2 linked regions of the Lytechinus pictus genome follow. The main gene of each other region encodes a partner of the protein of the gene in region 2 in a complex. Links are inferred from orthologs where the notes say so. Each region holds a gene or a part of one and is shown on either strand. Other genes may lie near its edges. The genes, in order: glutamyl-tRNA(Gln) amidotransferase subunit C, mitochondrial-like; glutamyl-tRNA(Gln) amidotransferase subunit B, mitochondrial-like.

Region 1 (15,115 bases), on a different chromosome or scaffold from region 2:
GTTTTATGAAATGCCCCCTGTACTGTTTGCAGTTTTAACAATTAGCGTTCACTTATTATTCAACTTGGAGTTAGATACATGTTCTTCTTCATCATATGCAGGTTAAGTTTCTTTTGTAATGATTTATATTAAAATTTAGTGTATGATATGGGTAGTCGTAAGAGTAGAAATGACACAAGTTCTTATTTCAAAATATTTAGTTACATTTATTTTCATTTCTTGATTATCTGTGTTGGAAATGCAAAATCTTGTATTGAAATTGCCTTTATCACACATAAAACCAGAAAAGTTGTCTGTCTAGACTTAAGAGTTTTGGGCATTTACTAATCTGATCTTGCATTTTGAATCAATAATATTAATAGTAATAATAATTATTATATTAATGAAATTTATACTTACATCTAGTTACATTAATATTATTATATTGATATATCTAGGCTCTCACTCAATAAATGAATATCAAATGCCACTTGTACACAAATGAAAAACAAATAAACCAGTAACCATCTTTCAGTAGTTGGTATCAACTGTACTTTACATGCATTTTGTTTGTAGGCTCTTGATGATTTCAAAAATATTTTAGGTCAAATCACCCAATTACATAGTAGGTAAGCGTATTTAAGCATCGCGCTGTGCAATGCTATTTGCGCATCAATTTCAATTGCAAATTGTGCATTATTTTTACTGTATCATGAATAATTCCTTTCAAGGTTTACTCACAAAGTGCAGGGTTTTGGAGTCCTATTGTCTTGATTTCTCCTTGTTAAACAATAATTTAAATAAGGGTACTTATAAAGATAAAACCATTACACCCTGCTTGTTCTTAAAAGAGCCAGGTTATTTGGACCCCTATCACAGCCGAGGGGGGGGGGCGGATTCCACCCCTCCCCCCCTCTGAGATCTCGGCATTTCGATCGCACAAGCGCCACGAAAATTTGCACAGTGGTAGTGTGCAGTAAAATATACAAGGCTGTATGGTTAATAATAAAAAAAAAGATTTTTCATTTCATGAATTAATTATGCTAATTTATTCATGAAGTAAAACATTTGCTCTAATCAACTATCATATGGCCCCAAAACTGCAATTTTTTTATTCATAAACTCTTTGTAGGATCCCGATCAAAATTTGGTATTGGTTTTTTTTTTATTTCCTATGTATTTCTTTGTTTATCGACTTTCTGTTTTTCATTGTTTTTTATAATGGAAATTGTTGTAGACTTAATTCTGATCATGAACAAGACAAAATTAATTAAGTGTAATCAGTAAAAGTAGAAATAATGATACATTTATGAATTTTGGCTAAATACACAATTTGCATTGGATTTGTACATGAATTCACGCTTTTGAGCAGTTTTGGGTCTGACATGCACTTACATAATGTTGCGTTATTTCGTAATCGCATACCCGGGCATCGCAAATTTGGTCTCAAGAGTTGTGCGAGATTTGAAAGTAAAAGGTCAGCGAGCGGTGCAGTTGAAAAATTTCGCGTGGTGGATTTATCATGAAAAATGTAGAGGGGGGCAGAATCCGCCCCCCTGGGCTTTTGAGGGTTAAGGTGACAGCGGTGGGATTATATTAAGGGCATGTTACATACACAGATACCATTGATTTTACAACTGATTGTAAATTTCTGTCAAAGTTTTGTCATATACTCAGAGTTATTTATCATTCTAGAATTGATCATCATTTATATTACAAGCCCTATGATATAAATATTGCTCTAGAAAACATAAAAGTCTCTATTATCAGCTTGCTCCTTTACACTAAGAGATCATGGTGGTTCTCTGATTTACTTAAAAATGTTCAATTTTATCAAACCATCTTGATTCCTGTCATCTGTCTTCATCCTTTCTGATTCCATCTAAAACTTGTTGGGTAACTTGAGAAGACAGAGGGATGTTTCCTAAGAACATAAAGAGTGATCATGCAAGAGTAGAGAGTTGCTTTCAAGAAAGATGGGGAAAATTACTTCAGGACTCCCCATCCCAACTCATAAAAGGTAGAAAAATAATTGTATTTGTGAGTTTAAAATGAGAAAATGTCCAGTTAACAATGTTCAACATCATTACTACCCATTTCAGTGACCCTCTGCAACACTGTCCTTGTCACTTTGTGTCTGTTTATGTTGAAACCTTTTTAAGCCTTCTTATTTAACAGCTATCTTAGAAATGGCAACAACACTTTGTTTTCATTACTGCACGTCTAATTCAGAATTTATGTAATCCAAAAAATAGGAATTAATGAAGAACAGTTTTGATATTTTTCATGGAAATACAGTGATTTTGATATTTGACATTTCCCCTAAAAGAGCTAATTTACAGATCTTTAATTAAACTTTCTTTCAGATAATTTCTGTAAGATGGAATGAATGAAAAAGACGCAATGAAGAAGTGATGAGTTCATGTAGAGTTTCTTTGTTTTCCGATGCATTCTGTATTCAATTTTAGGCCTCTGCATAAAAGTCAGGGCCAAATATTTTTTTGTGAGGTCACTTTGTCACAAATAGGTTTAGCTCAATCTGATATCTCAATTTCCAAAGGGATAACAATCGATCCCAAACCTACCACTCAAAATAAAGTGAGATGAAAAATTAACCTACCAGGAGGAGCAACAAAGTATCCTTCACATGTCTTGGCAGCATTCATGAGAATCTCCTCTGTGCAGTAGCCTTCAGTTACTGTGTCATCTCTCAAGTATAACTCTCTATGAAAACAATAACACAAGATGAAAGAATGTCTAATAATAAATTGAACTGAGTTGGAGTTGGCTCTTTAATATAACTTTCTTGCAAAACAGGCACTCAAATTATATTTTGACAAGGGTGCCTGTCAAAAACTTGAAATTGAGGTCTAAGCAACTGACTACAAGGTGTAAATTTGGGGCCTTGGCAGCTATGGTCTATTGGGCAGAGTCTGGGGAACTGCATATTGTATATGTTAAATGTACCACAATAACAGAGCGTACTTAATATCTGTATTCTATTTTTAATAGTCTATCTATATTCTTTGGCTGCAGTCTTTTATACCTGATCATCTGTACATATATGGCCACTGCCCCACTCTTGCATAGGGGCTGTGGTTGCTCCAGGCTACTGAGTATTCTTGTAGTACTTGTTTACATATTCAAGCTGAAATATCAATGGCCATCAAACACAGATGCAGTGCAATGACCATTTATCCATGCTACTGTCTCTAACAACTTTTACAGAAATTATGCAACATTGTCAGGTTAATACATCTTAAAACCTATCTGGAAATGAACAGTAAAGTATATTACTTGATTAGTAATATACATGGGTATATCAATCCAGAAAAAAAGGAACATATAGTAACAAGAGGAAAAGTCACATAAGGCTACATCAATTAAACAACCTATTATAAATCAAGATTTATCTTTATAATGGCATGTTTTGCTGTGCTACACTATACTCACGTATCTTCAAGGACCGATGCCATCGGTTGTATTCCACTGGTATCAACATCATCAAGTTGCTCTGCAAGGGTGATGGCATGCTCCAGTCTCTCAACACCAGCTGAACTGTTAAAATTGACAAGCGCTAACCTCTCTAGGTTTTCAATGGTCTGAGGATCCACCTTAACCTACAGGGAGATAAGAAACAATTGATAATGAAACACTCTTTGCGATTTTGCGATATCTATTACAACTAAATGCTCTTGTGAGTGGTGAATTAAAAACACAAGGGTGAGCATATAATCAAAATCAATATCATGACATTATGGTTACTCAGAAACCCTAACACCGACAAAAATAAGAACTGCAAATTAACAGAGGGTGATATCATTTTCATATAATGGCTCAGATTTTTCATAAATTACACACAATTTCCATAGATTAAAATAGTTAACAATTTTCAGATTATTACAGCTCATATATCTGAGCTATTTTCAGGTATCATAGCAAGATTTTAAGTTTTGTCACTGTTAATTAAGAATTATCAAAATCTTTACTTTGAGTTGGGAAATGAAGAAGGAGATAATACAGCATCTATTGACATTAAATATATTTCTTAATATTTTTAATTATAATTATCACAACTATTTCAAAATAATAACTTTTTTTAATACACACTGACATGGTTAGTGACTGTTCTTCACAAACATTCTGAAAACATTATTACCTTCTTTTTCTGTTTTGTATCTCTCCATTGGGGTTTCTCAGGAATCTATGGAAAAAGTAAAAATAAACTAGAGGGAATTAACACGTTTCTAACATCAGCGAATGCATTTTAATGATGATACTGCTATTACTGCATTGACTCAACATGATGATGTCACTCAACAAATTGGTGTATTTAGCTGGCATGGAGACGATTAGTGAGAAAAAATATTTAAAAGCCTTCATATATCTCAAACATAAGCACAAAAAAAAGCTGTGATTCATCTATCACATCTTCAACGAAAAGCATTGTATGTCATGTGTGCTTTCTCAAAAACATCAATAATCTCAATCTCAATTTTCAATCTACCTTTTGCATTGGACAGACTGGCTGCTCTTTTTTCTGTTTTTTTTTGGATTGGAAAAGTATTCAGGGAGTGATAAGTGAGACCTTCATATCGAGTAAAGATACATCTGTAAGTTGGAACTTGGAAGTTGGATGTAAATAACAGGGGCCGCGGAACGGTTTTCAAAGTGGGGGGGCTGAGCCAAAAGTGGGGGGGCTGACCATGCAAAAAATCACAATCGTATGGTCATTTTTACGTTTTTGTACATTGTTTGGGAAAAAAGTGGGGGGGCTGAAGCCCCCCCAGCCCCCCCCCCCCGCTTCCGTGGCCCCTGAATAATCATATACTATCTGATTGATACACACCTTTAAAAGAGTCGCTGCATTGAGCTGCACCGTGAGCCTGCATTATATTCAGAGACCCTTTCAAACTGAAAGAAACCTGCCACATGCTTTGAAAATATGGTGCAGATTCCATATTTTTTGTGGCAAAATTTGGCTTTTCAGATGGGATTTTATAGTTGAAATTGTTTTTTTCCTGTGGTGAGTGACACTGCCTACAATGTATTTGTTTGTATGTTATTGTGGTGATTGAATGTGCTGGCTTGTAAAAATAAATCTATGGAGGTATAGTGAAGCTTCTCTACACCTCCTCCATCAATTAATCTCATTCTTTCACTCTGTACAGGCAGATACCCAAAATTTAATTCTTGATTTTTACCATTAAATCCATTAATTCAACATTTTTCATCAAAATACCTGTTTATGAATAACCGGAAGTTTTGAAAATAATGAAGCAAGATGTAGACTAGCCTGAAAGCTTCATCACATCATCAGGATGCGGATGAATAGGATTTCTCCTGTAGATATCCGGTCTTAACGTCATGGTTGATTGCTACTCTCCTGTTCTATGGTTCAATTTAAACTTGATGTGCATTTGGAATTAGTGGTAGGCCTATTTTAATCTCTCATTCCACCAAAATTTATCAAGCCTATTTCTAAAACTTTCCACTGACTTTGCCTCTTCAGTACTAGTAAAGCCAAAAAGTGTTGATTGTCCAAGAAAACGTGGACACCCTCACAAACTGAGACAAATCATTCTTGATAAATTGAGAGTGTATTCGTTATTGAGGACAATTTTTTTTCACTCCCCCTGCACATGCTGCAGGACATAGTTAGCTATTACAGAGATTGAAGGTAGTCTGCAGGCACAGACCCTGATTGGAACTTTGATCAATAAGTGTGCCTCCACGCAAAGACTAGCACATACAAAACTTGCTGTTCCAATACCCTTCAGCACACAAGGCATGAGTAGGCTGCACATTCAGACCCTTAACTCGAGTGAAGGGTTTGCCCAGCAGACTAGATTGAAGGTGCTAAAAACAGATTCAGTGACCTCAATTCCCCCAGTTCACCATCTATTTTTTAATGACGTGCCATCTTCCAATAACCTTGAAACCTTCAGTAGGACAAAAGATCGAGATCTGATGCAAATGCAAAATGATCCCGATCTTTTGTCCTATCATATATTCATATTAATGAATTAAGTTGCGATTTCCGCGCATGCGCAATCTGCGTTTGCGATGTTTTGGAATCGGCAGTGAATTAATATATGTGAGGAAACCGATACTGACTCTAAATCACCAATTTTGAGACTGATAAAACTTAGAAGTGTGGAAAAGAAGTGAAACTTTGCGAATTGTAAGAGTTGTTACAAATGAATTGTAAGGTCATCGTGTTGCATGAGTTTTATATTTTTCCCCCATAAAGTAACACCTTTGTCACTCGGAGTATCAGAGTGAGCTTTGCACCTTGATATTCAGGTAGGAGTAGGAGTAGCGTAGTGTAGCGGTAGTGAAGTGGAGCCTACACAAACATCACTTGAGGTACAGGCGCACAAGCCACAACTGCACTAGCATGACTAGCACCATTAATTTCTCATGACCAAGTTGATCAATAACTCATGACAGTATTTCCACAGCACAGATCCAAAATAAATTTCCTGGAATTTTCAAGTTCGATATTTATTAACAAAAATTTGACAATACAGCGAGCTTAAAATTGGTTTAACCTATTTTTGTTCACACACTTTTTTGAAATAGGAACAAACTAATGAAACACGAGCAAGCGTGAGCAGAAAATTTTGAGCTACATATGGGGCAAACGATTCTGTAATTGTAACTAATAAAGTAACTTTACTTGTAAGTTGTATTTAATTTTCTGATTTCCCTAGCTGAATTTCCTGAAATTTTTTATTTCCCCAAAATTACCTGAAATGATCCAGAATTCGGGAAATTTCCTTCAAGGTGGAAACTCTGACTCATGATCACATGTCAACTGATGAGTGAGTCGACAATAACATGTTTCCCAAACACCACAGCCACAGGAGGCCGCGCGCTGCATGACTACAACAAAACTATGAATAACAGCGGCCGGCGCTCGCTTGCCATCGGGCCGGGCGGGCGTAGAGTGGCTTGCAGGATAGCGGCGCGGTGACTGCTAAATCAGTTCAGCGCCAGCTGCAGGCTGCGTTTGATGTGCCTGAGCTAGGCCTGACTAGTTAACTTACCTTTGAATTAGAGGTGGTATACTTGTTGCAGAAAAATCTTCTTGCTACTGGCACAGAATGTGACCTTACAAATCTGGATATGATGTGAATCACTGACATTTTTCACTTTTTTGTTCAAGCAGCAGTTCTTTTCCGAAATGTACGGTAATAGTCTTGGTGGTAGTTCCCCAAATTATTTATTTATCGGCTGAGATGGCGCTAAACAACTTTTCTGAACGGGGCCGCCGACACGAACGGGACAGAGAGAGCTCTTTCTTTTTGCAATAAATAAAATTCATATAGGCCTTATCCCCATTATCCCGGGTGCCGTAAGGAAATGAATGAATAGATTACGGAAATAAATTCTCTAACAAACAGAAATAAATGAATGAATATTTGTTATAAAATGAATAAAAACAGCACAGGGAACTGGCATTGTGTATGAAATTTGCAAAGTCAATCAGCCTCCAGCCCAGAGGCGGATCCAGCTTTCGCCAATGAGGGAAGGGGTAAAAAAAATATTTTCATCCACATTTTCCTCCATCTGCCGCTTATATTTGTTGTTTTATGAGGGGTGTTGTTACATGTCTATAACTAGGATGAATCGGATTCGGTCTTGGAGGACATATAAATGAATATTGAGAGTCTTATTGCTGTATTCATCTCGGGATTCATCTGCCCCGCATTGTAGTTTGGGTATATCGAAATAAGGGGGTAGTGATAAATAAAGACTGAAGTTTTGAGCCTCTTAGCTTTCTTCTTTTCTTGTAATCATGAACAATATGCATATATCAATTAAACGATTAATGGGAGCGCGAAGCGCGAGTTGAACATTTTTAATGTACTGTCCTACAAAAGGGCTTGTTAAGGATTGTTTGCAATGACTCGTGAATAATCCACCGCTGATCAAAAATGCGAGTGCGAAGCGCGAGCTAAAAATGTTTGATATTTCGACCTTAAAACTTAAGTTCTAAGCAGTTTTTTGTAACCATGAACAGGATGGGTATATACATGCAACTGAACGATTGATGTCAGCGCCATCCGAAAATGTTTACTTTCCAACCTGAAAACTGGACAGTCTATGCACTTTTTGTAACTGCATGTGCATGACTAAACATTTATAAATGCGAGCGCGAGATGGAAGTGTTATTTATATACTGACCTGAAAAGGGATCCATTAAATGGGTACTCCATGTAGGCTGATAAATGATTTGAACAGATTAAGAAAACAGACAAACAAAACACTGAAAATTGGACGAGGAATAACAAGGTTATGTCAGCATTTTGTAAGCCTATTATTTCGATGAAGAAGTTTTACGAATGTCCTCATGAATATGCAATGAGCAGGTTAATGTCATAATTTATTCATATTCCTTTACATTTTATTATATGAAATTATATTTATTCATTTTTTTTCCTCAAAGCATGAAAACAAAAACTGGACTGACAACTAAGTTTATATGTAAGAAAATCATTGCTGTACCTTTTATTTTTACCAAGGCAGACTTTATACACACGCGTATGAAAATATGAATTTATTACGATTTAATGTAATAACATCAGAAAATGCTATAGGTACCCTAATTGTTGATTTGAATCAATATATAAAATAATTGCAAGTATAACGCTGACAATATCATCAAAATCAGATGTGAAATAAGAATGTTATGTCATTTTAAAGTTTCGCTTAATAAAAACGTAAATGAAGAGTTTAGTTGCAAAAAGGGTTAGGTCCACATTGGACCATTCCGAGAAAAAACATGTTTTTTATTCTCACTTATTGCAATATTCTTATGAGAAACTAAATTGTCATGATGTACTACTCTATCATGTGAACATAAAATGGGAATAAAAGAAATCTACCTGTCTTCAATTTTTTTCTATATATTAAAAAAAAAATCATCATTGTGGACCTAACCCCTTTTGCAAGTAAACTGAAATTAATCCAATCTCTTTTGATTAAAAACAAATATTTTTCTTTGCCACTTTCATTCACGTTTTCATTTGAATTTCAAATTGTCTTTGGTATCATCAGAGTGACTGAAAATTTAGAGGTTTAGAGACAGAAAACAATAATATTTATGAAAAATGGACCTAACCCCTTTTGACAAATGAGTTCTTCAGAAGAGTTTAATTGCAAAAGGGGTTAGGTCCACTCCAAGAAAATCATTTTTTTAATTCTCCCATATTGCCATATTCTTATGCGAAACTGAATTTTCATGATGCCCTACCATGAGAACATAAAATTGGGTATAAGAGAAATCTACCTGTCTTTATATTTTTTATGATATTCTTTTCCAAAAAAAATCTGTGTGGACCTATAACCCCTTTTGCAACTAAACTGAAATGGACCTAACCCCTTTGAAAAAAAAAAGTGATTTTTCTTTGCCATTTTAGTTCACTTTTTAATAGGAATTTCAACTTTTCTTCGGTATCATCTTATAGAGCTACTAAAAATCTTTACATTAAGACACAAAAATCAAATTTGATGAAAAATGGACCTAACCCTTTTACATGTGATCTCTTCAAATATGTATAAAAAAAAGTTCGCTTATTTTGTTACCAAACAGTTATATGCAATTTTTAGCTAATTTTTTCTTCATATTAAGACCTTAAACAGGATATTCAAAGCAATGTAATCATTAAATGATAAGGGTGTACATAAAGACAATGAGAGTTTTATTATTATTATTATTCTATACGACATGGAAGCCGAACTCTTTTTGCCATTATGGACAGTATATTTGTTTAATCAAACAATATTAATGCAAGTGCGAAGCGCGAGCTATTTGTTTTCTATATTCTGACCTGAAAAGGGACCTAAAAAGAAATGTTTGCATGCAGTGACTCATAAAGGGGATTCATATTTCACAACGCGAGCGTGTATAGCACGAGCTGAAAATTTTGACACCCGGCTTGACAACTGAACGTTACAAGCACTTTTTTTTTTCATTTTTTAAAATAAAGAACAAGATCTGTATCACATTATCATCATTATTATTATTTGACAAATGAAGATACAACACAAAGAATAGGCCTACATATAACAATTTGTAGAACAAAGAATTAACAATAATATAAATAAACCAATAAAATAATCATTGCGATTGCAATTAGAGCGCATGCAAGCTATTATTTCGAATAGTGACATAGCAAAATCAAACAAACAAAAATCCCAAAACATTCTAATTATGAACTTTTTGTATTAATGAAACGAAAGGCCGATGTGCTTTTATAATGTAAGGGCGAAGCGTGAGAAATTGAGGAATAGCTGTGTATCTAAATATATTCGAGCGCGAAGCGCGAGCGGAAATTTATATAACCTGACCGGAAAGGAAATCTCTTAAGCACTGTTCAACATAATTATCCATGGAGGATTGTGGACCTAACCCCTTTTGCAAGTAAACTGAAATTAATCCAATCTCTTTTGATTAAAAACAAATATTTTTCTTTGCCACTTTCATTCACGTTTTCATTTGAATTTCAAATTGTCTTTGGTATCATCAGAGTGACTGAAAATTTAGAGGTTTAGAGACAGAAAACAATAATATTTATGAAAAATGGACCTAACCCCTTTTGACAAATGAGTTCTTCAGAAGAGTTTAATTGCAAAAGGGGTTAGGTCCACTCCAAGAAAATCATTTTTTTAATTCTCCCATATTGCCATATTCTTATGCGAAACTGAATTTTCATGATGCCCTACCATGAGAACATAAAATTGGGTATAAGAGAAATCTACCTGTCTTTATATTTTTTATGATATTCTTTTCCAAAAAAAAATCTGTGTGGACCTATAACCCCTTTTGCAACTAAACTGAAATGGACCTAACCCCTTTGAAAAAAAAAAGTGATTTTTCTTTGCCATTTTAGTTCACTTTTTAATAGGAATTTCAACTTTTCTTCGGTATCATCTTATAGAGCTACTAAAAATCTTTACATTAAGACATAAAAATCAAATTTGATGAAAAATGGACCTAACCCTTTTACATGTGATCTCTTCAAATATGTATAAAAAAAAGTTCGCTTATTTTGTTACCAAACAGTTATATGCAATTTTTAGCTAATTTTTTCTTCATATTAAGACCTTAAACAGGATATTCAAAGCAATGTAATCATTAAATGATAAGGGTGTACATAAAGACAATGAGAGTTTTATTATTATTATTATTCTATACGACATGGAAGCCGAACTCTTTTTGCCATTATGGACAGTATATTTGTTTAATCAAACAATATTAATGCAAGTGCGAAGCGCGAGCTATTTGTTTTCTATATTCTGACCTGAAAAGGGACCTAAAAAGAAATGTTTGCATGCAGTGACTCATAAAGGGGATTCATATTTCACAACGCGAGCGTGTATAGCACGAGCTGAAAATTTTGACACCCGGCTTGACAACTGAACGTTACAAGCACTTTTTTTTTCATTTTTTAAAATAAAGAACAAGATCTGTATCACATTATCATCATTATTATTATTTGACAAATGAAGATACAACACAAAGAATAGGCCTACATATAACAATTTGTAGAACAAAGAATTAACAATAATATAAATAAACCAATAAAATAATCATTGCGATTGCAATTAGAGCGCATGCAAGCTATTATTTCGAATAGTGACATAGCAAAATCAAACAAACAAAAATCCCAAAACATTCTAATTATGAACTTTTTGTATTAATGAAACGGAAGGCCGATGTGCTTTTATAATGTAAGGGCGAAGCGTGAGAAATTGAGGAATAGCTGTGTATCTAAATATATTCGAGCGCGAAGCGCGAGCGGAAATTTATATAACCTGACCGGAAAGGAAATCTCTTAAGCACTGTTCAACATAATTATCCATGGAGAAACATGTGCAGAAGATGATGGTTCTCACTTACTTCATGCGTACACCGCCGCGAAGCGAGAACTGAAATTTGTTGGCGATAAATTAAAGGGGAATCCAGCCTTGGTCATAAAATGTTGTGTCAAAAGGAGAAAAATAAATTTAAAAAAATGGTGAAAGTTTGAAAGAAATTGGACAAGCAAGAAAAAAGTTATGGCTGCTTTAAAATTAATATCCCTAAGACTATGTAGATTTCAAATTGGCAACTGAGTAAGTAGGACCCTAAATTATGACAAGGGGCAAGGACAACTTTCCCATAGGCCATGTACTTTATTATCAGGGATTTGTGGTTTTCATCTTAGTACCCATTCCCCTGGGGCAGTAATCAAAATATAACACAGGTAGCATATTGTTATATGTCCTCATGAAAGAAAAATATAATTTAAAGTAAAACTTTTGAAAAAATGACACTTTAACCATTTTATGTATTGGAGTACATGGAAGAGTAGTCCTTGCCTTACATCACTATGCCATCACATAATTATGTGGACATGGCTGTAGTGATTACCAAATTGTACAACTTTAAAAAATTCATAACTTTGTTATTGTTTGGCCGATATTGTTCAAACGTTCACCTATCAACTTGTCTGATTTTTATTTTTCCCCTGAAAACAAGTTTTTATTTGGGTTGGATTCCCCTTTAAATCGATCATGAACCAGGACATTCGATCCATTCGATCTAGGTGATACAGAGAGCTCCTAACCTTTGAATAAAAATAACAACGACAATTTAACGATAAATGTTCAATTTGACATTTACCGACAAAGTTAGTGGGGAAATCAAAGACATGCAGAGCAAGAACTATAGGCCTTATGATGGAACATCGGTGGGTGACCCAAAATTTTCTCATTTTTCCGACAGGCATCTGTCCAACAGTTCTTATTCGGCTTGTCATTATTCCTGGAGACTAACGCCCTTAATTTGTGAGTGATGACTTTCTTTGGTCAAGTTTTACTGATATTAAACGCACTCCTGGGGACCGAGTTTCATCAACATTTTTGTCCGACAAAAAAAAGGTATGAACGACATATTTACATTAGAAAAAATTGACTATGACTCTCAAGGGGGGGGGGGGGGCACGGACCGGAAATGCCCCCCGGCCCTTGGTCCGCCACTGCTGTTGACCCAACTGGCGTACAGATTGGGGGGGGGGGGGCTTGGGGGCATATGGACCCCGCGAGATTTTCACGACTAGAAAAAAATATGGAGAATAATAAGAAATAAAATTATAAGAATTTGACATTTCCTGAACACTATATCTGGTGGGTGTTTCATAAAGCTGTTCGTATGAGCGACTTTTAGAACGACTGGTGATCCTTTCTTGTGGTAAATGGTATTGAATTGGCGATTGTTTAGCACGTTTAAGAAGGGTTCACCAGTCGTTCTCAAAGTCGCTCTTAAAGGGATGGTCCGGGCTGAAAGTATTTACAGCTTAATAAATAGAATAGAATTCACTGAGCAAAATGCCGAAAATTTCATGAAAATCGGATAACAGATAACAAAGTTATTGAATTTTGAAGTTTAGCAATATTTTGTGAAAACAGTCGTTATGAATATTCATTAGGTGGGCTGAGGATGTCACATCCCCTCTTGTTCTTTTGTATTATATTATATGAAATTAGGTTAATTTATTCAATTTTTTCCTCCAAGAACTAGAAAAATTGGATTGACAACTGATTTAGTGCATTAGATATTTATTGCTGCAACTTATTTCATTTTAAGAGAGACATATTATTCACACAAGTATGAAATATTGAAAAAATTATGATTTTATGTAATAATATAAGAAAACGGAAAGTGGAGATGTGACATCATCAGCCCACCTAATGAATATTCATGACGACTGTTTTCACAAAATATTGCTCAATTTTAAACTTCAATAACTTTATTATTTGTTATCCGATTTTGATGAAATTTTCGGCATTTTGCTCAGTAAATTCTACTCTATATGTATTAAGATATAACTATTTTCAGCCCGGACCATCCCTTTAACTTAAGAACAGCTTTATGACACGGCTCCAGAACCTTTCTCAAAGTACGATTTTTAAAAATAGAAATTAAGGTCAATTTTACTTGCTCACTAACTTCACCCCGCTAGAATATTTTTAAAAATGTTGACCTGTACTCCCCTGTACTCCGACTCCGTATGTCCGGCCCCCTCATTTTTTTTAGTCATTACGTCAATACAGGAACTAAATTCTTGTTTGTAAACAAATATAAAGCTAAAATCCATTCAGGTCTTTCCCAACTATACTTTTAAGCTAAATAAATCAAAATAAAGTAAAGTAAAAGCAAATATCAGAAACCCAAAGAAAAAGGGATCAATCGAGTTATCGAATGTATTGGAATAACGGATTACCGAAAGGATGACATCATACACTTAGCCAAGAATTTCACAATACCATTTTTTGACAATGACAGAAACACGTTGTGTTGATTGATGACACGACTCGATAATAACATTTTTGTCAGACGAATTTATTTTTATAGGGATGTCCGTAAGGTACCAACAGTATACTTGATCAAAATACGATTTTAATGAATTTGATTTCTTTTAATAATTCATGGTATTGCTTTTTATAAAGCCTGAAAATATATATATAAAAAATATAAATCGTCGTGGTCTCAGACAGTGTATCAATTATCACGCTTAAAAAATATTGCTCCCCCGTCGGTACAAGTGGACGTGTCCATGGTATTCGCCACACCTCTCGTGTTTTGGGAAAGTGTGTGTACGTGGTATGGTATCTTGCTAGGTATGGCTTCTTCGTGAGCCCGTCAAGCTTTCGTGCATATATCGCCAGACTTCCCCGCATATTGAACTGTGTATTAAAACGGCGAGAGTTCGTTTCTTTGTCCGAGATCGATCAACATGGCCGCGAAAGATGTCGCGTCGATGTTTCAATATTGGAAAGAATTCAACTTAACACAGCTTCAGGTAAATAGTGTGAAAATTCAGTATGCAATTTGAAGTTGTATGACCATTGCGGTCACTTTGGTGCACTTTGTTGGTTGTTCAGCAACTTTTGAAGCTTTGATTTCTTGCTACGAAAAATCGACGAATTTATCAGAAATTGATCCAAATGGCTATATCTGTTCAATATGCTGTCGCTGAGAGTTGGCCTAGATTGCGGTGCGCGCTTTGTGTGGTGGTGATGTGTGCTGCTGCAGCGGTGTTGTTATTGTATTGGAAGTGAATGAATGGACTTGACTATGATC
Region 2 (15,881 bases):
ATTTCATACAGGAAATCTGCATAAACTATGGGTTCAAACCTATGGTTTTCAAAATTACCTTTGTGAATTAGGGCCAATGGGTGTAGCTGATGTAGTGTTAGCCCGGGGGGGGGGGGGGGCACTTACATTGTCAAGTGGATACCATGCGCGACCAAAAAAAACATGTAACAAGTGGAATGCCTCTGGCCGTCTCACCTGCATCACGCGATTCAATATAGCAGCAGTGCTGATTTTGAAAACTACTATAACTCGCACAAGATGTTCAGTGATACTTGGTTACTCTTATTTCCACGTTTTATGAACTAGACCAATACACTTATAGAGATATGATGGCAATTCAACAAATACCCCCAACGTGGCCAAAGTTCTTTGACCTTACATGACCTTTGACCTTGATCATGTGACCTGAAACTCGCACAGGATGTTCAGTGATACTTGATTACTATTATGTCCAAGTTTTATGAACTAGACCAATACACTTATAGAGATATGATGGCAATTCAACAAATACCCCCAACGTGGCCAAAGTTCTTTGACCTTACATGACCTTTGACCTTGATCATGTGACCTGAAACTCGCACAGGATGTTCAGTGATACTTGATTACTATTATGTCCAAGTTTTATGAACTAGACCAACACACTTTCAAATTTATGGCTGTAATTCAACAAATACCCCAATTTGGCCAAAGTTCATTGACCCTAAATGACCTTTGACCTTGATCATGTGACCTGAAACTTGCACAGGATGTTCAGTAATACTTGATTACTATTATGTGTAAGTTTCATGAATCAGATCCATAAACTTTCAAAGTTATGATGGTAATTCAACAGATACCCCCAATTCGGCCAAAGTTCATTGACCATAAATGACCTTTGACCTTGGTCATGTGACGTGAAACTCATGCAGGATGTTCAGTGATACTTGATTAACCTTATGTATAAGTTTCATGAACTAGGTCCATATATTTTCTAAGTTATGATGACATTTCAAAAACTTAACCTTAGGTTAAGATTTTGATGTTGATTCCCCCAACATGGTCTAAGTTCATTGACCCTAAATGACCTTTGACCTTGGTCATGTGACATGAAACTCAGGCAGGATGTTCAGTAATACTTGATTAACCTTATGGCCAAGTTTCATGAACTAGGTCCATATACTTTCTAAGTTATGCTGTCATTTCAAAAACTTAACCTCAGGTTAAGATTTGGTGTTGACGCCGCCGTCGCCGCCGTCGGAAAAGCGGCGCCTATAGTCTCACTCTGCTATGCAGGTGAGACAAAAATGATGTCTTTTTCAAGATAGGGCACGTTACGTACGTAACATAAGGGTGTCAAAAATACTAAAATAATGAAAAAAGGGTATCTATTTTCGCTGGGAAAGCTTCGTGTTTAGGGCAAAATTTGCGAGGGTATGAAAAATTAAGACTAATATGTTTTATAAAGGATGTACTCTTTGCCCCAAGAGTCAACACTACGTGGGGGCTGTACTAAACCCAATGATGTAGGTAAAGGTGAAACCGACGACTGACGTCCGCGACATAATTGAAATATCGCTGTACTTGTTTAGGGGTTCAATTCAGGAAATACTTGCCAATAGTAAAGTTTTGTTTCCAATACTTGTTAAGGGATGGGGTTTCACAAGCCAATACTTGTCAAGGGGTGCATTTTCAGAACATGGAAAATACGTGTTTAGGGTGCTTTTCAAGACCCCATGGTCGCGCATGGTATCCACTCGTCAATGGAAGTGGCCCCCCCCCCCCCCCCCCCCCCCGGAGTGTTAGTTAATACTACCCGACAAATAATAGACCAATTGCTAGTAAATAAGCCTCCCAACTATACTAACCGGAAGAGTACCTGGCAGAGAGGCATCAAAAAAAGAGACTAGCGAGTTTGGTGGTGCCATGAATTGGGCCTTAGAAGCAGAAAATAGTTTGGTATTGGAGAGTATCTGGGCATGAATCTCAAGGCCAACCATGCTGGACCATCCTTCAAATGAACTATAGAAATAAAATTATCAAAAACATGAAAATTCTTTAAAAATATTACTACTGAGGAGAAGACAACAAAGAGGAAGAGGGGAAAGAGGAAGAGAGGGAGGAAGAGTAGAAAGAGGGAGGAGGAAAAATGAGAAGGAAGAGACTGAGGCCGAGGACAATGAGGAGACAGGGGAGAAGGAAAGGGAAGAAAGAGGAAAAGCAAGAGGAAAAGCAAGAGGAAAAGGACATGGAGAAGGAAAAATGAGAAGGAAGAGGCCGATGAGGAAAATGAGAAGAAATGGTCCCCCCCCCCCCCCCGAGTCCGCATTCCTAGCTTAAGTTTAACACTGAACAGTGCAGTTTCATTTGTCATTTTGGCGACGTGTGCTTGATGCAAACCACTCATTCTATGATATAACCCTGTTCTCTATTACTACTCCCTGTGTGGTGAAATAAGGTTGGCAATGTTTGGCTTATTTTCTCTCTTTCTTTGGGACAAATGCTTGATTTTTGGCACTGTCAGTTTCCATTACAGCTATTCATCATATAACTTGGCTCTAAAGTAAATTCGATTCTATAAATTATTTTTTCTTAATTAAAAATAGAGATTGAAAAATGAGAATTGTCTTGCCATATAGAGGGCGTACACGAAAATATGCCCAAAATTCAAGTTTTCAAGCGCTCTGGTGAAAAAAGTTACTAATGAAAAATAAATTGCAACTGTATGGACTATGGAAATTAGTATTTTTGGTCACAAAAGTGATATTTTAATGATTTTTTAAATTGTGTGCTGCGTACAGCATTGCCATTGGCATACCAGTCCTACCTGTAGATTCCCCACAGGCAGGATGATAATGAAACCTTGAGTGGATGCAAACAAGTACCAGGCATCTTTGAAATTTGGCGTAGATGCAGTTTCGTACGGGCCGACTTTGAGCAAATTTCCCCACAAGAAATTGTTCGCAAATGTCATCTGATCATGGCAAGTCTCTCAGTCACATTTCAAGGTCAATAAACAATATTCCCAACCGCTTTTCCAAATATCGGGAACGGCTGGATTTCGGCTCCTAGTCCTAGCTCGATCATTATTATCGTTCTAAGTAATATTAACCAGTGGGGAAATTTGCGCTAAGAGTCTTACTAGTAAGACCCTAAGTCCTAACGCCTAAGTCGGGCCTAAGAGTAGGGTGTCTGAAGCCACACTGAAAAGTGTCAGCATAAAACAGGCTGATTTTAGGAAAAATATGGCACATTTTTTCGGGAAATTCAGGCTGCTAGAAAAATGTGATCTGAATTGATTAACTTGTTTGGCATGTATGGAAAGAGAAAATTCAGGGGCTTCTTTTGACATTAAGGACAAGTTTATAGGATTATATGAAATAAGGATTTAGAGATAAATTGCAAACCCTTATTTGTGTGTGTGTTGAGATTGCCATTTCCCCATGCGTTTTCTATGGGAAAATGACATTTCTGTTATGCACAATTTTTTTCACTTTGTCGCAATTTTTCATTGTGATCTGGTTTCCAAGTCTTTATAAAAATCATACCATCAGAAAGCGCATGAAAAATCATATTTGACTCTTCATGGACAAGTTTTTGGCATTAATAATAAATTTATAACAGCTCTCGGAAGCTAAAAATTTGGATTTGTGTGTGTCCATTTCTTAACTACACAGTCTATGGCAGAGAAATGCTGAAAATTGACCTAACTTCATTCTTTTTTGCAGCCAATTATTGGATTAAAAAAAAAATGTTCAATTTCTGTCAGTTTGAAGCCGTGAAGGTCATTATTCTTCAAATTCACAAAGAAAATTTGATATTTTCTTGAAATAAGAAAAAAAAAAAAAATTCTCCAGACACCCTACTAAGTAAGACTCGCAATCGGCCAGTGCAACTGCAGTCTGTAGCCTGAACTGCTGAAGGCTATTAGCGCAAATGAATTTTAATTTCCAAACGCCATGCTTATTAGGACCTGACTAACGTTAATCATTGTTAACAAATGTCAGGGTTTAGCCTAACCCAGGGAGCGCCGGCCCGCGAAGCGGGCCGGCGCCCAGGAGCTCACCGTGTATTTACCAATACTCACAGGACAAGGGTAGATTATGGTCAAAATATCTACATGTAGCAAGATAAATTGTGAAAACAGAAATTATGCACTTACCACGATTATATGGATGAAGGTCTATCGAGTGGTAGAATCCTGACATCCAGGCACAGACTGGAACCTCAAAAAACCGAAAAGTTCTCTCCTTCTACCCCAGTCTCGATCGGCCATTTTGTTATGATTCATAACAAAAATGGCCGATCGAGACTGGGGTAGGAGAGAACTTTTTGTTTTTGAGGTTCCAGTCTGTGCCTCGATGTCAGGATTCTACCACTCGATAGACCTTCATCCATATAATCGTGGTAAGTGCATAATTTCTGTTTTCACAATTTATCTTGCTAGATATTTTGACCATAATCTACCCTTGTCCCACTCACACTAATACGAGGTTAGTATATGTACTAACCTCGTACAAGGGACCGTGTTTGACCCTGGATTTCGAAGTAGTCGGCAAACATCGCTTCATTGCTGAAGTAATATCTGCCGAAACTCCTTCTCGCTAAGCACCGGGGCTCTTTCCGGTAAGTAGCAATACATAAACAAATTATACATATGATTTTGAAATAATTTCATTATAATAAAAAGAGCAAATTTCGCTTACCTCGGCCTAGCAAGTGACTTCGTTTGTCTCTTCTACGGAAATACAAGGAAGCCCGTTGGTGGCGCTAATAAATTTCACAACCTTGATTCAGCTCCTCTGTAATTTTATAAGTATAACTGTCTAAATTCTTTGAATGCGCAATTCTTATGATTAATTTACTAATTATGGGCACCAATAAATGAAATACAGTTCAAAAATATAATTCAAGATTACTATTGGCGATGATAACACTTTTTTGCAATTAATTTAAAACGATGACTAATAAAATAAAATTGAGAAAAATACACATGCCTGGAACGAAACCAGCAGTACAACAATTGAACAAGCTTTAACGAACGTCAATAATACGGTATACCAAAGTCTATACAATGAAAAGATTGGACACTTCACGGACTTCGCGTAATACCTTGCGTGGATTTGCGTGTAAAATAGTGTAGGTGCCTAGTCTTTCCCTTGTCATGTCTTTGATATGAATATTAATATAAATCGCGCGCCCTCTTTAGGAGAAAATTGATATCCACGCCAACCAATTTTTATCTCCGTGAAATCTTCACTAAAGATCAAGAAAATATAGGGCCTACATATTTTTTAAAAGAAACTTCAAGGAGAAGTCACGGAAGGATCTAAATGATTTGGTAAGTGTCATACTCATACTCATAGCAGAATGTGAAATACCATTTGTATTTGTAATAGGCCTACCAGATTATGCGTGATATTTTATGTGGGCAAAAGCCCAGTATATTTTGGATGTGTCGTGTGAATATGACTGATATTCTTTCGCACGCGAGACGATATGAACCCATGGGTGCACTTGTCCCGTGAGTATGGGTAAATACACGGTCGGTGAGCTCCTGGGCGCCGGCCCGCGCTCCCTGCCCCTGGGTTAGGTTTAGCCTTTACTTTAGGCCACGCCCACGCCGCCTTCATTCGGCAGCGGCGCTCTTGAGTTAGCGACGCCGACAGCTCCGGCCTCGTTCGTCCCGCGGTTGTGTTCATTTTGCCGGCCGTGCACTGCAGCGCCGCGACCCGGCCGAGCCGAGATTGTCTCGGTGCAATTCCACGCAAAGTCAGACGACTTCACAATGATTAATACTAACCAATCAGAAGTTACAGAATAATTTCTTCGTTTTATTGCTCTCCAACCACTATAAGATCTTCTCAAGGAAATCACAACCGGTTTTTGGAAGGCAGAAAACCTCCACGATGTGCTCATGCAAGCTGCCATCTTTAAAAACATCGAATGTGCAGAGCGCCCTCTTGCGCTTGTACGCGCACGCATGAGGAATGCACGGGAAGAATGTTCCCAAATATAATTTATGCGTTTACTTTTTAGCAATTAAAGATTCCCCCTTTTTTAAAGTATTTAGCATTGTGCTTTTTTTTTATTTATCCCCTCCCCCCCCCAAAAAAAAAAGAGCGAAACTATCAAAATAAAGATAACACAGAAGCCAACTGATGAAAAGTAAGAGAATTGAGCATTTAATTTTGTAATTCTATTTGGTTAAAAAAAATATTTTACTTATTTTATGATGAAAATTTGTATTATCTTTAAAAATAGAAAAGAAAAGCGGGTGTAGCAATTCGGACTATTACTAAGGGTTGTTAGTTATACATGACTTTGCTTATGACTAAGAACAGGTTCTTAAGTGCCACATCAAATTCTCAAGATTTCCGTCAGCCCCCGGCCGGCCGTTAGCTAAAAGTTGAAATCTGATTATTGTAACGTTAGACAAAAACTCTTGTCAACCAGCATCTGAATGCATATTTCAAAATTTGTCAATAATCTAAGGGCAACAGGGAGTTCATACCCATTACGTTAAAAAAACATGTAAATTGGGATCTCTCAGTTTTAGTGCAGGATGAAGAGCCCAGTTCATAACTTGTAACAAATTTGCAATTACGGTTAAATAAAGCTACTGAAATCCTTCAATCTGATGATAAATTTGATGTGGGAGTTGTGCGTTTGTTATTGTAACAAGTGTTTATGAAACAAGACCTGATGCGTTGCCAGTCATGTGTCATTAGTTACTTACAAACAGCTAGTTTTATGAAAAACCCCATTTATCAGGCCTGCCAACATTTGAAAATGAAAAAAAAAGGTATAATCGCACGGCGCAGATTTTTCTGCTCGATGTCAGGTGTGTCTCCCTCACTTTTTTTTTTAATCAAGACATGTTTAGCATTCTTATATTTAAATATTGAGAAATTACACGTTTTGAAAAACTATATTACTCTCACACCCATACCCCGCCACACAAATACATGTACACGGGCCAATTTTTTTTTTTATCTTAAATAAATGAAAAACGGAGTGCTCCTCTTTTGCTGGTTGATAACAAATCTCAAAAGTGGGGTAACTCCAGGAAAAAAAGTAGTTGGCAGGCCAGATATATTATCAGAAGGGAAATTCCATGAAAGGATCAAAATGTTGGTATTGCCAATCCCCACCCCCCCCCCCCCCGGCCCCCACACACACAGTTCTTCTGCATTTTAACTTTGACTTCATGAATTTCTGAAACCATGATGACTTACCCACATTGTGCTGCACTCAACTCAGGTGAGGAACGCAAATGGGTACCGGCAGATGGTAATTCCTCAAAAAGCTGTGAGCACCAGAATTGGTAGACTAGCTAAGCCAGGTTAATATGGGAGCGCCTTGAGCACTTAAGGTGGTTATATGTGCTATATAAATCCTATATCATTTATTATTACATGTATTTATTTATTTGAAAGCATTACAACTTTTGGTTCCACGACATTTGTTACAGTGACATTTGCTCTATAAATGCAACACACTAATCAAATGACTAACTTCAACCCTGGATTTAACACTATACCCTACCTTAAACCTAACATAAAACCCTATTGCAACCCTAACCCCAAAACTACGTCTTAGACGAAATGAAAATAAAGAACAATTGTCGCAGAAGCAAATGTTGCGTCACCCAACTTTTCATATTTAATATCCAATTTAGTATTTAATAAGGACGCATTTGGCAGTGATATGCGCTATATAAGCATGTTGGTATTATTATATATTCACTGAAAAACTGAGGCAAATTGTTTCAGGAAGTTCCCACATATAAGGGATCATAATTATGTACACACTTTATGGAATTTCCAAAAATTTCACATGTCAAATGTAGGTCTTCTCTATCAATGAGATTTCATTTTCTTTTCTTTTTTCTGTTGGAGAGTTAAATAAATCACTCACAATACTACTAACTTCTTTAAAGGGAAATGCTATCAGAGAAGAAATCAATAAAAACATTATTTTTATATAATTTCACATTTATTATGATATATCTCATCTACACCACATCATAGTCTCATTTCTGGGTCTGGTTTCATAAAGAGTGGTTAAAATAACAAATGCACATTTTCTATATCAAGTTTACAATCAGCCAATCAAATCGAATGATTTAATTTGCTTTAAACTGTTATTGAAAAATTTGGTATTATAACCAGTTATATGAAACGGGCCCCAGCTCTGTAGGATTCACATTCATTTATATACTAAACATTATGAAAATCTCCACAGCCTACCTGCACATTACCAAATATAATCCCACTAAACAAATTCCCAAGATAACCAAGAACTTAGGCAGTTTTACAAAATGATGTTGTGGTGGCTTGATTATGGTGACATTTGTGCTTTGCACAAACAATGAAATCACACATCCTTGATGCATAAAACTGACACTAAAATAAATTTTCTTGTATAATAATAAAACATCCTTTGCTAACATAATTGTATGTATTTACTGATGGCATACTAAGTATTAACCACCTCAAAAAACAATGGCATGACTAACAAAACAAAGATAAAGTATGATTTAATCAGTTCAGGAAGAACATATAATATTTCAACTTCTTCCAATCTAGAAGGCTTGCCCATCAAACTTTAGCTTGGAGAAACTGATTTTCGATATATTAACAATTTCGTTTAACAATCTTGTTAGAAATATACCCTGACAAGCCTTATCTTTTTGAGCATATGACACAGAATTTGAGAATTATTAAAAGTAAAAATAATTTTGCACGAAAATATATATCACATTATCAAGATGAATCTGTCATATTGCTTTTAGGTGCTATAAGCAAAGTATGACTGCTTTGCAATCACTTTCAACCATGTAATTATATTACAAGCTGTAAAAAATAAAATCTTTGTAGTTCATAATGCAGTATCTGAAATACTGGTGACATTACACTCAATATATTTAAAATTTGTGAAATCCTACATTTTATAACCCCTTCCTTTCACAAATACTACAATTTTACCATTTAACTTTATTTTAGAAAGAAAGGATAAATAGAATGCAATATCTAACTGACCAAAGAATTTGGTTTGACTGACAGTTTTTCAAAGTGTAGGACAACACTCAAACACTAGCTAATCACTTCACAGAAAACCTTCTGGGTTGCATGCGTGCACATTAAGTTATTGAAGCAATCATCAGACACGGACAGATACAAAGACTTAATCAGTCACTATCAGTAGTCCCCAGCTCTGCCGAATATTTCTTTTGGTGGAATACAAACTATGATTGTCAACAAAACATGTAATGCATAAAGTCGCTCGTAATTTCATGAAACACCGGACCGGACATTAATGCGTTTAATAGAAGAGGTATCAATTACAAACACTTCAGGAAGAGGAAAGGATAACGTTGAGGGCTGCCACAAAATACAACCTTGCCTGGCATTGCATCGGCCAGCTAATATATTTGATATGAATCCCACCGCTGCCACCAATAAGGATCTATGGCATCGGGTCAAAGTGCACTGGTAGGAAAGGGTGATGGAGGTAGTCAGACGTCGGACAATGCAGCAATACCTGGTAGGTTCTTGCCTGTATGGGATATGAAGCAAAAGAATGAAGAAAATTCTTACAAATTGGTAAATAACAGAGCACAGAATACTTAAACAATAAAGCGAGATGAATTCTCAAAGACAAACTTGAATTTCATGCCTCTGGCATATGTAAAGATAGAGAGGGAGCAGATGGCAAAGGGTGATTTTCATGATATAGGTGGGGTGCATCTCACTTGCTTCCACCCCCCCCCCCCCTGAGTCTATATCTTTCTATACAACATACCTTCCAAGAGCTCTAGACTAGCCCCGCCTCCAGTACTGACATGGCTGACGAGATGCTCAGTGTTATACTTTGCTGCACACGTCGCAGTATCACCTCCGCCTGTCATAACAAAAATATATACATTTTTTTTTAATTTTTAAGACAATAACATATTACAATATTTCTCACCAGCAATCCCAAACCCCCTCCCCCTCCTTATCACAAACCCTCCCCAAATGGATTAAGATTCAGAGGTGGATCTATGCCCCAGGATTGGCTCCTGTGTTTGAACTTTGGTTACTATCAATTGTATGCCAGTGACAACAATGATAATAATATATTGGACTTTTATAGCGCCGAATCCACTCTGTAGAGTGCTCAAGGCGCTATTCAAGAATTATGAAGGAAATTAAGAAGAACTGAATAGCAATGCTTTTAGGGTTATTTTTGTATACAAAAACTCCTCATAGGTAAAAGTGATTGGCTGATAGTAAATTTGGCTGTAGAAATTTGAATGTGTTAATGACAGGTTTTATGAAATGGGACCCATGCTGACTGAATGTTTATGTTGGGATGAAATGTAAACCCAAAGGACAATATTCTGAAATCCCCATTTAACTTAGTCTGAGGTCATGGTCTAATTCTGTGGCAAAATGGAGGTGCCGTGGCCGAGTGGTCAAAGGCGCCTGACTGCACATAGAAAGTCCAGGGTTCTATCCTCGGCCGCAACACTTACGCCCATAAACAAGGCAATTGATCTACAATGTTTTTATCCCGCATTCAAATAAATGAAAAATGCTACACACATTCTTGCTAAGTAGGTGTGCACTTGTTGTTAAAAAAAAAATTCTGTGGCAAAATTATAGGAAGCCAACAAATTTCTTGTTACCATGTTCTTTCATTAATAATGATGAAGGAAATTATATAAGAAATTACTATAAAATACTTCAAAATGAATTGAGCACCAAATGTGCTGACAAACGGATCCTTGTCTCACAATTGGCTATCCATAGTTAAACCATGACTTCGAAGTTGTGGCAAAATTATAGGAAGCCAACAAATTTCTTGTTACCATGTTCTTTCATTAATAATGATGAAGGAAATTATATAAGAAATTACTATAAAATACTTCAAAATGAATTGAGCACCAAATGTGCTGACAAACAGATCCTTGTCTCACAATTGGCTATCCATAGTTAAACCATGACTTCGAAGTTCAGAATAAGGGTCAGAGGATCTTGAGCACAAAAATGTCAAAATAACTTAATGAATGGATGGATGGATGGGTTGGTGGGTGGGTGGACGGGTGATGGATGGATTGATGAATGAATGAATGAATCAAATAATCAATCACAATCGATCAATGAATCAATCAACCACTAATCAATGAATCATTCACTCAGTAAACCAATCAAATAGCCAATCAATCAATCAATCAAAAGATGAATGAATGGATGGATGGGTGGATGGATGGGTGGATGGATTGATGAATGAGTGATTAGACAGTCAGACCGCAGCTCGCGCGATAATGAGCATATTCACGGAGATTTATTCAGCGGCCCTCTAGCGGTCTCCGAAGGAAAACGTGCGATCAATTTGGCTTGATTTTCCCACTGAATTGGAGGGGCTGAAGTTATAGCTCTGCACTGGTCGCTAACTTCAGTTTACGTCGAAACGAATTGTGGTAAGTTATTCTCAAGACCTTCATCTACATTTTGGTATATAATTTTCCATATTTCGACATTTTCAACCTACCATTTTTACCTCTTTAATTGATGCTTATCTTAGTAATATTTTAACTGCGATTTTGTAGTCGGAATTTCACTTTTGGTTCCTGACTTTGCTACATAACCAAATTGTTTGAATCGGGATTTTTTAGAAAGAAGAAAAGTCACTTTTCAAAATATGTCAGAACCAACTTGACGCAAACTCACCTTATATTTTTATTTTAGAGAAAATGATACCCTAAAAATCAAGAAATTTACGTTTTACCCGGAAGTAACCTTCTCGTTCACTCCACGATGGCGCGAAATAATGCCAAAATTACGTTCGTCGCGGGTTGGTAGAATTTCGCCTTTGGTCCCATACGTTGAAACTTCTGTAATGATGGCAGATGGCTCGCATTATATTTGTGACTGTGGACGGTGGACTTGTTTTTTTTTTTTAATTAAGACTTAATAATAATATAAACGAAGCTTGATAAGTAGATCCCTTCTAAAGTTTTATTCAAATGATTATCAGGTTTCCGAATTCCATCAAGTTTTTATAGATTGAGATATTTCTTGATTTATGTTGAAAATTGTTAACCTTTTTCCTAGTCGAAGTTGAGCCCCATGATGATTTTTGCCCCAGGCTGCGGTTAAGAATTAAATGATGATTAGCTCAGACAGTCTACTCTAGAGACTATAAACAGTTTAAAGTCAAAGTAAAAAGTCTGGTACTACCGTACTCAGTAGTATTTATAAACCATTTTGTTCAAATAAAAAAATTGTGGCTGTCACAGACAGTACTTAGTTAGTCTCTTAATTGACTTACATGTAACATAATTCATACTTTGAATAATTTAGACTATTTCTCTCTTTTTTGTCTCTTCTACACACAGATCTGCATACTTGCTGACTCTGGTCTCTGCTTGCTTCTTCATTCTGGGAGATTCCATCATGTCCTATAATGGTCAGACCATGATTTGGACAAAGCCCTTTTTTCGTTTGCAAATTTTGGACTGATAATGATACAACAGAAAATTGATCTTTATCGATATTGGAAACAAAAAAATTAGAGCACAGTTTTGGGGAGGACTAAGAATACTGACTTGGACAGGAATACAGCTTGACAAAAATAAAAATTCACAATTCAAAACCAAAGAAAATTTTTAATGCATTGCAAGAAACTTTCTACTCAATCACACATTCCAAAATTAAGGGTAAGTCCTTTGATTAAACACAAACATGTAGTTGATTTGCAATTGAACATAAGTTTCTTGCAATGCCCCATAATTATATTTTGTTCTCAAGCAACTCTGTTATATGTTATCTAATGTGCTGAAGGTTAAGTGCCATGTATGTTCACAATTTTTTTTTTCGAAAGGTATAATATATTTGTCGTTTTAAACGGTATTTGAATGTGGTTACGCCTTGTTTTTGTTTTCCACAGTAATTATTGCATATATGAACAGAAGTGAAATATTTGTTGTGAAGCACTGTATGAATGTTGTGTGATCATGGAGCTATGGTGTGATGGTATTATAATTAATTCATAATTTTTGCTATAAGACTGTAAACCTGGTGGATGTGAGGGAGTGGCCTGGATGAAAGGAAAGTGAGCATGTGTCCAATTACTGATTTGCATATGTTTAGACAATTTTGATCGTGGATAAATATTAATGTGCATTCCCTATTCCAAGCAAAGAGTAAAGGAGAAGTCCACCCCACCAAAAAATTAATTTGAATTTAAAGAAAAATAAAGTATTGCAGAGAATTTCATAAAAACTGATTCAAAATTCAAAAAATTACTATTTTGACATTGAGAAATTTGCCTAATTTTATAAAACAATTATATGCTCATCTTGGTCAATGTGCAAATTACAGAACCGATTATGTCACACGCACTCTAATTTCTTGTGTATTTTTTTGTTTGATACATGTACATGACATGTATATTTTATTTTAATTTTCATTAACAAATTTTGAGAGGGATTTTAATTCCTCCATTAACATTCGTAGTTTCCATAAATGTAACCTATTGTACGAAGCCCCAAACCGGACATTTTTGACATCCAAAAAAAAAAAAAATTATCACGTACGTACGCAGTATACGTACGTACGTGATAATTATTACGTACGTACGCAGTATTATTACGTACGTACGCAGTATTATTATGTACGTACGTGATAATTATTACGTACGTACGCAGTATTATCACGTACGTACGCAGTATTATTACGTACGTACGTGATAATTATTACGTACGTACGCAGTATTATTACGTACGTACGTGATAATTATTACGTACGTACGCAGTATTATCACGTACGTACGCAGTATTATTACGTACGTACGTGATAATTATTACGTACGTACGCAGTATTATCACGTACGTACGCAGTATTTATTACGTACGTACGTAATGTTATCTCCCAAAAGGTCATACATGAATTCAAATACCGGTAGTTACTGAAATCTGATCACGCTAGCGCGAAGCCCGCAGGCTTTAAATTTTTATGTGGGCCTACAATAGGCCTTCTGCTTTGATTGTTCCCGCATAGAATTTCCCTTTAAATACCAGCCTCTTCAAATAGTTTTTCTTTTTTTAAACACCTATACATCTTCACTTAATTTACATCAATTAATACCATATCATATTCAAATTTAAGCAGAGAACGAAGCAATTTCAAAAGGGTGGTAAAATAATAGGGGCTCATACGTGTCGCGTGTGGGTACATTTTTGAAAAAAACTGTCTCGCCAAAACACTAACATAATAGGCCTTTAATTGTCCTTTCCCCAATGTGTTTCTAGCAGTTTCTGAAAGGAATGGTTTAATTGAAAACACAGCCTGATGACGAGAACAAATGAAATGGTTATCATATGAATATTGTGGGTTATATAGCAGGGACCTGGGAACTCGCGGGGGTGCTGGGGGTGTTATTTTCCATAGGCAGCACCCCCACGAAATCAGGTTCCCTTTGTATTTTTTATATATGTTATAATGTACATAATTATCACATCCGACAATCGCAAATCATACAACGTCTTTCACATATTCCAATAACATCCCTCCTATAACATGTAACGCGACTCAATCAAGCTCCGGCACGCCGATACAGACGTATGTTAAGGTCTTAAAGAGGACCTGAGCTTAACGTGTAACTCGCCGGGTAAGTTCGCGATAAAGTGTTAATTGCAATTATAATGTACGCGCGCGCACCGAATGCGGAGTTTGTGCGAGAAAATCACTTCAGTTCAGTAGTACACTGTTCCCCGACGGTACCATCAATATTCCATAAAACATGTGAGTATTAATACAGAAAGAATAATACAATTTCAGTTTATGTAATATAATTCGGCGCGTGAATTTATACAATCTATGGTCTACCGCATTCCATTCGTTATTCGTATGTAATTGCCTTGAATACTCTTGCCAGTCTTGGCTGCTCTAAGTTAGGCCCAGGTAACCCAGGGAGCTCCCGCCCGCTACGCTGGCGGGAGCCCAGGGCGCTTACCGTGTATTTGGCCATAGACACCCTGCAGTATAGACACGGGACTAGGGTAATATGTGGACTGAAGTTATTATTATTATTGCCTCCCCCTCTCCAAATGAAAATATGTTAAGTGCCGGCCCAGATTTACTTTTTAAATCCATGTTATTCTAATTTTTTTTAATATTCACGCACAATACACTCTATTAATTCTGCTTAAGTTTTTCTTCCTTTTTTTGGTTTGTAGTCCATTCTATAAATACTTATTAAAAAAAGAGATTTAAGACATATTATAACCTGGTAATATAAGTACCCTATTGTCTTTGCCTACCCCCCCCCCCCCCTCCTCCAAATAAAAATATGTTAAGCGCCGCCCCAGCTTTTACTTTTTGAATCCATGTTATTCTAATTTGTAAAATGTTCACGCACGAAACACTCTATAGGCTTCTGGTTAAGTTTTTTTCTCCTTTTTTTCGTATGTAGTCCATTCTAAAAATAAAAATAAAAGAAATTCAAGACATATAATAACCAGATGAATATACGTTCCCTTATGTCTTGCCCCCCCCCCTCCAAATGAAAATATGTTAAGCATTGCCCCCGCCTTTCCCTTTTCAATCCATGTTATTCTAATTTGTAAAATATCCACGCACAAACCACTTTATAAGTTTTTCCTTTTTGGTTTGAAGTCCATTCTAAAAATACAAATAAAAAGAAATTTAGGACATATAGTAACTTGGTAAAAAAGTGCAGCATATATATGATGAAGAGCAAATCTTACATGTCGAAGGCAATCGTGTGCTTGTGCATGTAGAGGATCCTGTGCGTGCATCCCATTCCAAACAACACAGATGCAAACACAGAGGCACTGCGCGCACACACTGGACACATTTTCAATAACCTAGGGAGCGAGTTACGCGTTAAGC

What was found.
Region 1: glutamyl-tRNA(Gln) amidotransferase subunit B, mitochondrial-like (region 2) and glutamyl-tRNA(Gln) amidotransferase subunit C, mitochondrial-like share a complex: the UniProt entries of both Drosophila melanogaster proteins name them as parts of the heterotrimeric GatCAB amidotransferase (AdT) complex. The link is inferred for Lytechinus pictus from reciprocal best matches to the Drosophila melanogaster genes GatB and GatC.

What each region holds. Positions count from the first base shown.
Region 1 is NC_087246.1:15,550,445-15,565,559, forward strand, and holds glutamyl-tRNA(Gln) amidotransferase subunit C, mitochondrial-like, read right to left. Parts: upstream 7,221-15,115; 5' UTR 7,131-7,220; coding exon 7,032-7,130; intron 6,887-7,031; exon of another isoform or gene 6,787-6,886; coding exon of another isoform or gene 6,733-6,786; intron 4,184-6,732; coding exon 4,139-4,183; intron 3,600-4,138; coding exon 3,433-3,599; intron 2,704-3,432; coding exon 2,600-2,703; intron 1,904-2,599; coding exon 1,833-1,903; 3' UTR 186-1,832; downstream 1-185. UniProt on the Drosophila melanogaster protein: Allows the formation of correctly charged Gln-tRNA(Gln) through the transamidation of misacylated Glu-tRNA(Gln) in the mitochondria. The reaction takes place in the presence of glutamine and ATP through an activated gamma-phospho-Glu-tRNA(Gln).
Region 2 is NC_087249.1:39,943,642-39,959,522, forward strand, and holds the start of glutamyl-tRNA(Gln) amidotransferase subunit B, mitochondrial-like, read right to left. Parts: upstream 5,935-15,881; 5' UTR 5,920-5,934; coding exon 5,780-5,919; intron 4,779-5,779; exon of another isoform or gene 4,683-4,778; intron 1,999-4,682; coding exon 1,845-1,998; intron 1-1,844. UniProt on the Drosophila melanogaster protein: Allows the formation of correctly charged Gln-tRNA(Gln) through the transamidation of misacylated Glu-tRNA(Gln) in the mitochondria. The reaction takes place in the presence of glutamine and ATP through an activated gamma-phospho-Glu-tRNA(Gln).